Canis lupus familiaris: one gene and its partner. The protein of the gene in region 1 interacts with the protein of each later gene in a pairwise test. Links are inferred from orthologs where the notes say so. Each region holds a gene or a part of one and is shown in the gene's direction. Other genes may lie near its edges.

What was found.
Region 2: the proteins of GSTA4 (region 1) and C17H2orf50 interact in binary tests that used the Homo sapiens proteins (3 or more experiments, as listed by UniProt). The two-hybrid records come from large-scale screens. The link is inferred for Canis lupus familiaris from reciprocal best matches to the Homo sapiens genes GSTA4 and CIMIP5.

The regions. Positions count from the first base shown.
Region 1 is NC_049233.1:20,685,371-20,689,712, reverse strand, and holds the start of GSTA4 (glutathione S-transferase A4), read left to right. Parts: upstream 1-1,276; 5' UTR 1,277-1,325; intron 1,326-2,283; 5' UTR 2,284-2,301; coding exon 2,302-2,388; intron 2,389-4,342. UniProt on the Homo sapiens protein: Conjugation of reduced glutathione to a wide number of exogenous and endogenous hydrophobic electrophiles. This isozyme has a high catalytic efficiency with 4-hydroxyalkenals such as 4-hydroxynonenal (4-HNE).
Region 2 is NC_049238.1:7,907,896-7,912,369, forward strand, and holds the start of C17H2orf50 (uncharacterized protein C2orf50 homolog), read left to right. Parts: upstream 1-1,496; 5' UTR 1,497-1,649; coding exon 1,650-1,888; intron 1,889-4,474.

The DNA.
Region 1 (4,342 bases):
CAGATACTCTCAGGAGTCCCTCAGGGAGGACATAATATCAACATCTATAGCTTGAGAAATAGCCGAAGCTACTTCTAAAAGCAAGAAATAGTTCTTAAGTCCTCCTGAAGGCGAAGGCGTATACAGTACACTTTGAGATCCATGTCAATTCTGCATTCTGCTCTATAAGATAGCTTTACTGTACTTTTTGAAGTTTTATTTATTTATTTATTTATTTATGTTTTACTTTTTGAAGTTTTAACTTATTTACCAGCCAAATTACTTTTTTTAGCTCCACTGACACTTCTACCCCAATGGCCCCCTTTTCCCATCCAGGGAAGTACTCTATTTAGCCTGTGACTTAGAGTGGTTGTCTTTAAAGCGTATGAAACGAAGAGGGGAAAAAAAAAGAAAAGAAATGAAGGGAAAGCTCAAGATGATCAAGAGAGAAAAGGGGGAAAATGTACATGATCTATAGACAAAATGGGACAAGTTCTAATAATATATGGGTCCTGTTTATTTTGGGGTGTTCTGTTTAATAGTATACATTAGAAAAGTATTTAGGTACTTTTGCCTTTATGCATGGGTTAAAAAAAAAAAGAAAAATCTTAACCTAAGGGTCAAAGTGTCAAAAGAAAGGCAGACTGCCACGTGCAGCGCCTCATTTGGATGTGTCTGGAGTCTTGGAAGCTTGACTACCCTACGTTCTCCTACAAATGGACCTTGAGAGCTTGTTTGGAGGTTCTAGCAGGGGAGCGCAGCTACTCGTATACCCTTGACCGAAGAACGGTCCTCCTCTATCGGGGATGGTCGTCCTCTTCGACCGAGCGCGCAGCTTCGGGAGGGACGCACATGGAGCGGTGAGGGAGGAAGGGGACACCCGCCTAGCCAGCCAGATCAGCCGAATCAACCCTGGCGATCAATGGGGTGACAGATGTCGCAGCCAGATCGCCCTCACATCCGAGAGACCAGGGCCGCGCAGGCGCTATATATGCCTCAGAGACGATTTTCCTTTACACATAGGTCGAGTGGCTGTGAGCACACTGGCTCTCGACTGGGACTTTTCATCTAAGACCGTGACCTAACCCACACTTCCGAGGCCATTCCATTCCTCGTAAAGCTGAAATTTTTGCTCAAAACTGGCTTGATTTGGGGCTGCTCTCATAGTATCCAGAATGCCTTGCAGATGGGTGGGGCATGCTAAACACCGCCGTCCCTATTGGTGAGGCTTGGCGGAGCCTCGCCCACCGGGGCGCCTTCCGGGGACCGGCCGGCCCCGCCCCGCCCCGCCGCAGACCGCTCGCCGAGCGCTTTGTGGGGCTCCGGGTGCTGCGAGCCGACTCCAGGTCTGTCTCCCTGCGGCCGCCCCCACCCGCCCGCTCCTCGGCCCCCAGCCTCTGAAGTCCACCGTCCAGCGCATCCCTCCCTCCCAGGCCCCTTCGGTCCTCTCGTGTCCCTCCCTCCCTCCGGTCCTTGGGCGCCTCCGCCCAGGGACCCCCTGGCTGGGGCCGGGGTCCCCCTTGGCTCCGTGTGCGTATTGTTATTAACCCGCTCCGCGGAGTCCGGAGCCTCTGGTTTCGGTGGAAGCGCAGCTCGGATCCCCCGGAAACTTGGTGAGGCGCGGGCTGAGCGGCGTCCGGTCTCGGGTGGCCACGTCGGAGGCCTGGGGGCACCCCGCAGGCAGGACCCCCGACGCACGTTTTGCAGACAATAGTACTGCCCGGCCCCTCCACCTGCAGGTGCAGCGAGGACCGCGTACGGGGACGCACGGGGATGCACGGGGACGCACGGGGATGCACGGGGATGCACGGGGATGCACGCCTTCTTGCCAGGGCTGCAGAGGGTGCGTCGTGCCCCGCGGCCCTCCACGTCCCGCCTCGCCCCGCCTCGCCAGCCTGATTTTGGAATTTGGAAATTTCAGGATTTTCAAGGTCAAAGGATATGATCTTCCGGATCTAAGAAGGCCCGTGCTGCTGGCACGAACCCCTATCCAGCAAATGTCCCCAGCTTCCTAAGACCCAGAATAAGAAATCCTAAGTAGGAACAGAATGAAAACCAACGTGGTTGTTTCCTTTAATATTTGGAAACGGTGGTAGGTTTTTATTGAGTGAGGGAAAACGCAGTCCTTAAAAAAACAACAATTAAAACAACAACAACAACAAACGATTTCCTGTGCCAAAATCCTGAATATTCATTTAGGCCGCGAGCACAGGGTGGAAGACACGAAATAAGGCTGCTCTTGTAGGAGGAGCTGCGCATTTGGTTGTGTTTTTTTTTTTTTTTTTTTTTCTTTTTTCCTTCTAGAAAGCCTGAAAGGCCATCATGGCAGCGAAGCCCAAGCTCCACTATCCTAATGGAAGAGGCCGGATGGAATCCGTAAGATGGGTTTTAGCTGCCGCTGGAGTCGAGGTACCCTATATGCTGTTTCTTCACAGATTTGCCATACAACTTGGAGACTTTTGAGGAAAACCTAAATGGTGGGGAGGCCTGTTGTAGCCCTCTCCCCCCCCTCCCCAACACAGACATGCTTGGTTGAGTCAGAAGATTCCTTCCTTGCAAGAGTTTTTTTTTTTTTCTTTATAAATGGAATGTGGCTGATGGAATTCTGTTTTACTTTAGACTTTTCCTTAACTGTTAGTTTCTGATCTGCCACCAGTAAGTATTTATTCAGGAGGAGAAAAGGAATGAGCCTGAAATTTGCCAGTTAGGACTTGTTAATTGCCCAGTTTGTAGGTAAATTTCCTCTTCAATGGCTTCCAACCGGCAGCCTTCTTATCGGTCTGAATGTGTGTGGTGTTTATATCTTTCTTTTTGTTCTTTTAGCTTCTTATGTATGGAAATGGTCAACTTGGTACAGAAGTCGAGAAAACATTGCCATAAATTTCCCTCACCCAGTTTCCAGTCATTTGCTTTATGCAGCTCTTGCCTCATCCATCTCCTCCATTTGTTTTGTGGAAATATTTTATTTTATTTTATTTTATTTTATTTTATTTTTTTTTTTTTGTGGAAATATTTTAAAGCAAAATCCAAGCATCACATCCTTTCATCTGTGATGAGTATTTCAGTTTTTATTTCTAAAAGATGAGAATTTTAGAACATAACCACAATACCACAATCACACCCAGCAAAATTAACAATTCCTTATTAATATCTGGACAGCCCCATTGTCTCAACCAGGTCTTTTTATAGTAAGTTTATTCCAGTCTGGATCTAAATCATGCCCCCACATTGCATTTGGTTATGTTTCTTTCAGTATTTTTAAAATCTGTAACCTTAAAAAAAAAAATCTGTAACCGTTCCATCTGCATTTTTTAAAAATAAACTGTATATTTGGGGATAATTTTAAAATTATAAGGTTATAATTAGCAAAGTTATAAAGACAGTGCATATAAAGACTACTCAGTCTCCCCTAATGCTATCATCTTACATAATCATTTCAAAACTAAGAAATTGACATTAGTGCACAACTAAACTGCAGACTTCAAATTTAATTACTTTTGCCATTGATGTCCTTTACTGTTCTTGGCTCCAACCTTGTACTTAGATACTATGCTTCCTTAAGTCCCTCAATCTTTCTTTTATTTCATAAGGTTGACAATTTTGAAAAGTATTGATCAGATTTTTTGTAGGACTCCCTACTTTGGCTTTGTTTGATGTTTTCTCATAATTGGACTGGAATTTGGGGTTTTGGTGAAGACTAGCAAAGAGGTCAATTGCCCTTTCATTTGCATACTATTAGGGGTGATGTTAACATAAGTTATCGCTGGTGCTGTTAACCTTGGTCACTTGGTAAGGTGGTGTCTGCCGGTTTCTTCTTTGTAAAGGGACTATTTTCCCCTTTATTATTTGGAAGCAAGTCATTAAGTTCAGCCCACACTCAAAAGGATGGGAGTTAAACTCCACCTCCTGGAGCGGAGGCATCTGCGCTTAGAATTCTTATGTAAGAGAGATTTGGGGTTTTTTCTCCTCCATTTATTTAATCATTTATTTATATCAGTATGGATTTAAGTATGTGATATTTATTGTATGGTTTGTTTAGTAATCCAATAATGCTTTCTTGCTAAAATTAGCCTACTTTGGCCTTTGGCTCTTTCAGGTTGGCTCCTGCGTCACACCTGTTTACATGGCTCCATGCCTCCTTTTCTTTTTCTTTTTATTTTTTTTCCACCTTCAGCTCTCTCTTTCTTTTGACTCTTAAAGATGCTCCAGGCTCATCTTGTATTTTCCTTGTCTTGGCCCTAGATTCTGGTATTTCTCCAAGGAGCTCAGGTGTCTTTTATGAGCAAGTGGTTTTAGCAGCTAAGAGCTGAATACCAAGTGTCTGTATTGTTTTTAGTGGCATTTATTTGTGGAAGAAACTGCC
Region 2 (4,474 bases), on another chromosome or scaffold:
CTCCTCAGGCAAATGCTGGCCGCTGTCACCCCATCTCTGTTCCAGCCCTCGGCCCAAAGCCAGTGCGGGCCTCCCCACCGCTCACCTGGGCCATGGCCGTGGTCACTCCCCTGCTTCTTCTTTCCCGATGCTTCTTTGCCTCAGCAGCGTCTCTCTCTCCCTTGTGCGCTAACTCCAGGCACAGCTCCGACCAGCCCTGTGGTCCTGGGGCCCCACCCGCCAGCCTCAGACCTCGCCTCCTCCCCTCTACCTCCCCCCAATACTGGTGCTCCCTCCTGCATCCATGCTTTTCCTCCTTGCCCCAGTTTTTCCACCTGGCAAATCCTCTTGTCCTCTTCACTCCTTGGCCCCTCCTTCTGGAAAGCAGATCCAGTGCGAGCTCAGGTGCATTGGCTGACCTGTCCCCACACCCTGGGGCACCAGACATACCTCCTCGAGCAGGGCTTTGTGGGTGCTTAGTTGACGGGGAACCCGTTTTCCAGCTATACAGAGAAGGGAGCACCACGCCCAGCTGGATCGGCCCACAGAAGAGTTTCAGGGAAAGATCCAGAAATCTGCCCACATGGACAGGGACAGGGGACAGCCCGAAGCTGGGAGACCTGGCAGCAGGTGAGGGCGGCGTGTGCGAGGAGCTTAGCTGAGCCACAGCAGGAGAGGCCGGAGAGGCCCGGGGCCCAGAGCCACTCGGGCCACACTGGCTGAGAGCAGATTCGCAGCTGGAGGCTCAAAACGCGAATCCCCACCCTCCAGTTCCCCTTGATTCCTTCAGAAAATCTAAATTCAAGGCCAAGCCTCGGCTAGTAACTGCGTGGCCTGGGACAGTCACCTAATCCCGCTGGCGAGGGCCTTGGTTCCTTCCTCTGTAGAACAGAGTCCGAAATACCTGTCCTGGGGGATCCGGAGGGTTTAGCAAGATGAAGGTGGTGCTTTGTAAACCCTCCAGGTTTTTGCAGCTAGACCAGGTATGAAGGTACAGTGTCACCAGGTTCCCCTTGCTGCCACGTGCTCGCAGCCTCCTCCAACAGAGAAGCAGAGCATCGCACTGGCATCTTCTCTGTAGCTCACGAAGCACCTCCATCCACCTTCTGGTGGGAGCCCATGTCCCCAGGGGAGCTGAGCGGGTTATTATGGTCCTTTCACATGCCCCAAGCGGGGCAGAGCAGCTCAAGGCCATGCGGCAATTGGGAGGCCGCGGCCCCAACACACCCCCATCCTGTCTAGGAGCCAGGGTCTTTCCTCACTGCCCCAGAAATCAGGGCTCTGGTCCCCCTCTCCCTCCCCCATGCTGTTTTTGAGGTCTCCGGCCAGGGGGCCAGGGGGCCAGGGGCCCTGGGGACAGAGCTGAGGGGCAGCTGAGCTGGGCCTGGTACAGACGCAGAAAGTCTCTCCACCCGCCCCCCTCCCCGGGTTCAGATGTCACACACACTCGGGAGCTGGCCCGTCCCCTGGACAACCGTCAACACAGGCAGAAGCTCAAAACACAGCGGCTCCAGCGCTCTCCCCGCCGACTTCAGCCACTCGGAGCCTGGGGCCTGGGGGGCGGCGGGGAGGACCCCCGCCCAGGCTCAGCCCGGAGCCTCTCTCTCCTGTGTCTCTCTCGATCTCTCCACTTCTCTGTCTCTCTCTGCCTCCCCATCACACCCGTACCCATGGGGAGCCCCCCCACCCCTGGGCTCCAGAAAACCTCGTCCGCTGGGTACCGGCTGCCCTCAACCAGGCCGCCAGCCGTAGATTCCCGCACTGCCCGAGGTGGCCCCGCGGTGGGCAGGGGTCGCCAAGCCCCCCAGGCCCCAGAAGCGGAGCGCTGGGCCCTGGGAACGAACGGTGTGCAGCGGGACCAGCTGTGGAGGGAGCTCTTGGAGGCCGAGAGGAGGGGCCAGCAGCGTTGGTGAGTGCCCTGCCTGACCCTCGGGGTCTAGGAAGCTTCTGGAAAAAGAGAGACCCATGAGAAGGAGTAAGCAGGCAAACGTGTTGGCGTCAAAGTGCTCGGGCCACGAGTTGGGGAGAACACGCCGGCCAGACTGGAGCCCGAGGGTGGGAGGGAGAGGTGGCAGGGGCCAGGTGGCCCAGCGCTCACTCTGGGGTCCCATCTGCCTTTGAATAATCCCTCCAGCTGGAGCCCCAGGGAGAGACTGGGGGGCAGCAGTGGAGGGGGGGAGCCCTCACCCTCTGACCCAAGGGAGAGACATCCCTTCAGGCATCCGATCAATCCAGACATTCCTGTCAGGCTGCGATGAGGGACAACACAGGCCGACACCTGGCTCCTGGGAGCCCCCAGCTCAGGACTGGGCCACCACAAAGCCAGCCGAGAGACAAGAAATAGTGTGGCGAGTGTCATGGAGCGAGGGGTCGGTGGGCACCTTCTTTCTACAGGCTGCTCACAGAGGCCTCTCTGAGGAGGTGGCCCAGAGGCTGTCGGGAAATGTGAGAAGGGGCCACGGAGAGTCTGGTGTTTTTAAAAACAGAACAAAACAAAGACAGTCCATGTGGCTGAGGCAGTCGGCGAGGGGACAGGAGCCTCAAGATCAGACATAGGGGACACCTGGGTGGCTCAGTGGTTGAGGGCCTGCCTTTGGCTCAGGGCATGACCCCGGGGTCCTGGGATGGAGTCTCACATCGGGGTCCCCGCAGGGACCCTGCTTCTCCCTCAGCCTGTATCTCTGCCTCTCTCTCTGCCTCTCATGAATAAATCAATAAAATATTTTTTAAAAAAAAGAAACCTTTAAAAAAAAGATCAGAAGTAGGAGGAACATGTCATATACTGTAAAAGGTCATATTTTTTTAAATGTAATGAGACACCATCAAGGGTTTCGAGGAAGAGCATGATGTGATCTAGCCTGAGATCTGAGAAAACTCGAGGAATGGCTTCATGGTAGCGTTATGAGAACTGCTGATGGATTAGAGTGAGAGGGTGTGTGGTGTGTCTGTGGTGTGTTGGTGTATTGAGGTGTGTGCATGTGTGTGGTGTGGGGGGAGATGTGAGGCATGGGGGTGTGGCAGGTGTGTGTATGTGTGTGTGGTGTGTATGATATGTGCACAGGATGTGTGTGGGGGAAGTTGTGTGTGTGTACACATGTGGTGTGTGTGTGTGGTGTGTAAGGGGGTGGGGGTATAGGGTGTATGTGTGTCCATATGTGGTGTGTGGGCTGTGAGACTGGAGGGTGTGTGGGGTGTGTGTGGTGTTGGTGTGGAGGATGTGTGTATGTGAGATGTGTGGAGGGGTGGGGGTGTATGGAGTGAGGGTGTGCGTGTACAGTGTGCACAGTGTGTGGGGTATGTGTGTGGTGTTTACGGAGTGTTGGTGTGAAGGTTGTGTGTGGTATGTGTGGGGGTGTGTACGTGTGCTGTGTGGGGGGGTGTGTTTGGGGTGGGGGTGGGGTGTGGAGGGTGAATGTGTGTGGGGTATAGGGTTATGTGTGGGGGGCGTATGTGTATGGTGTGTGGTGTGGAGGGGTATGTATGTGGTGTGCGTGTGGCATTGGTGTGGAGGGTGTGTGTACGTGGGGTGTGTGTGTATGTGTGGTGTGTGGAGTGTTGGTGTGTGTGGTATGTGTGTAGGGTGTGTGGTGTGTGAGGTGTTGGTGTGGAGGAGGTGTGTACCTGCTGTGTGTGGTGGGGTGAGGGTGTGTGTGGTGCGTGTGGGGTGTGGGGGGGTGTAGGCAGGGGTTGGGGTGCAGGGGACACTTAAAAGGAAGGGCTGTCGACACAGTAAGGAGCCTGGGGAGAGCAGGAGCCGGAGACCTGAGCAGAGGTGGGAGTGGGGTCCGGGTCCGGGTCCGGGTCCGGGTCCGAGTCGCCGCGAGGACCGTGGGAGGAGCGCCCTGCGGGGCCGGCGGGAGGCCGCCCAGGAGGCCGCTGAGCATCAGCAGTCAAGAGCTGGACGCGGGACCAGGGGACAGAGGGCCGGGAGGCGGCCGGCATCACGGGAGGGACAAGGGCAGCGAGTGACCGCTAAGGGACGTGGGGTCGCTCTAGGGGGTGACGAAAGGCCAGTGCCGGCCACGACTCTGAATATGTGGGAACCGGTGGACCATCCCCCTACAGGGGTGACCCTCACAACCTGCGTGTGCCCCCAGCGAGGAGGGGCCTGAGAACCTGGCGCTGGGACCCCTGGGCTGTCCCTGGAAGGGGCCTCGTGTCCCCGGAGACAAGGTCTTAGACCCAATGGGCACACGCACTCTGAGATGAGCTGAGATGAGCCCCGGACAAGAAAGGGGTCACAGACCCAAGAGGGGAGAGTTTAGGGAAACCCAACAGAAACACCATGTGAGCCACACACGAAATATTCCATATTCTAATGGCAGCCTTAAAAAATGTAACGAGGAACTAGTGAAATCCATTTTAATGATGAATCTCATCCAAAGTATCATCTTTTTGGTACATCGTCAATATTTGAAAAGATATTCGGGAGATCATCTGACCTTCCTCTTTGCTCTGAGCCCTTGAAACCAGGTCTGTGTCTTACCTCCTACAG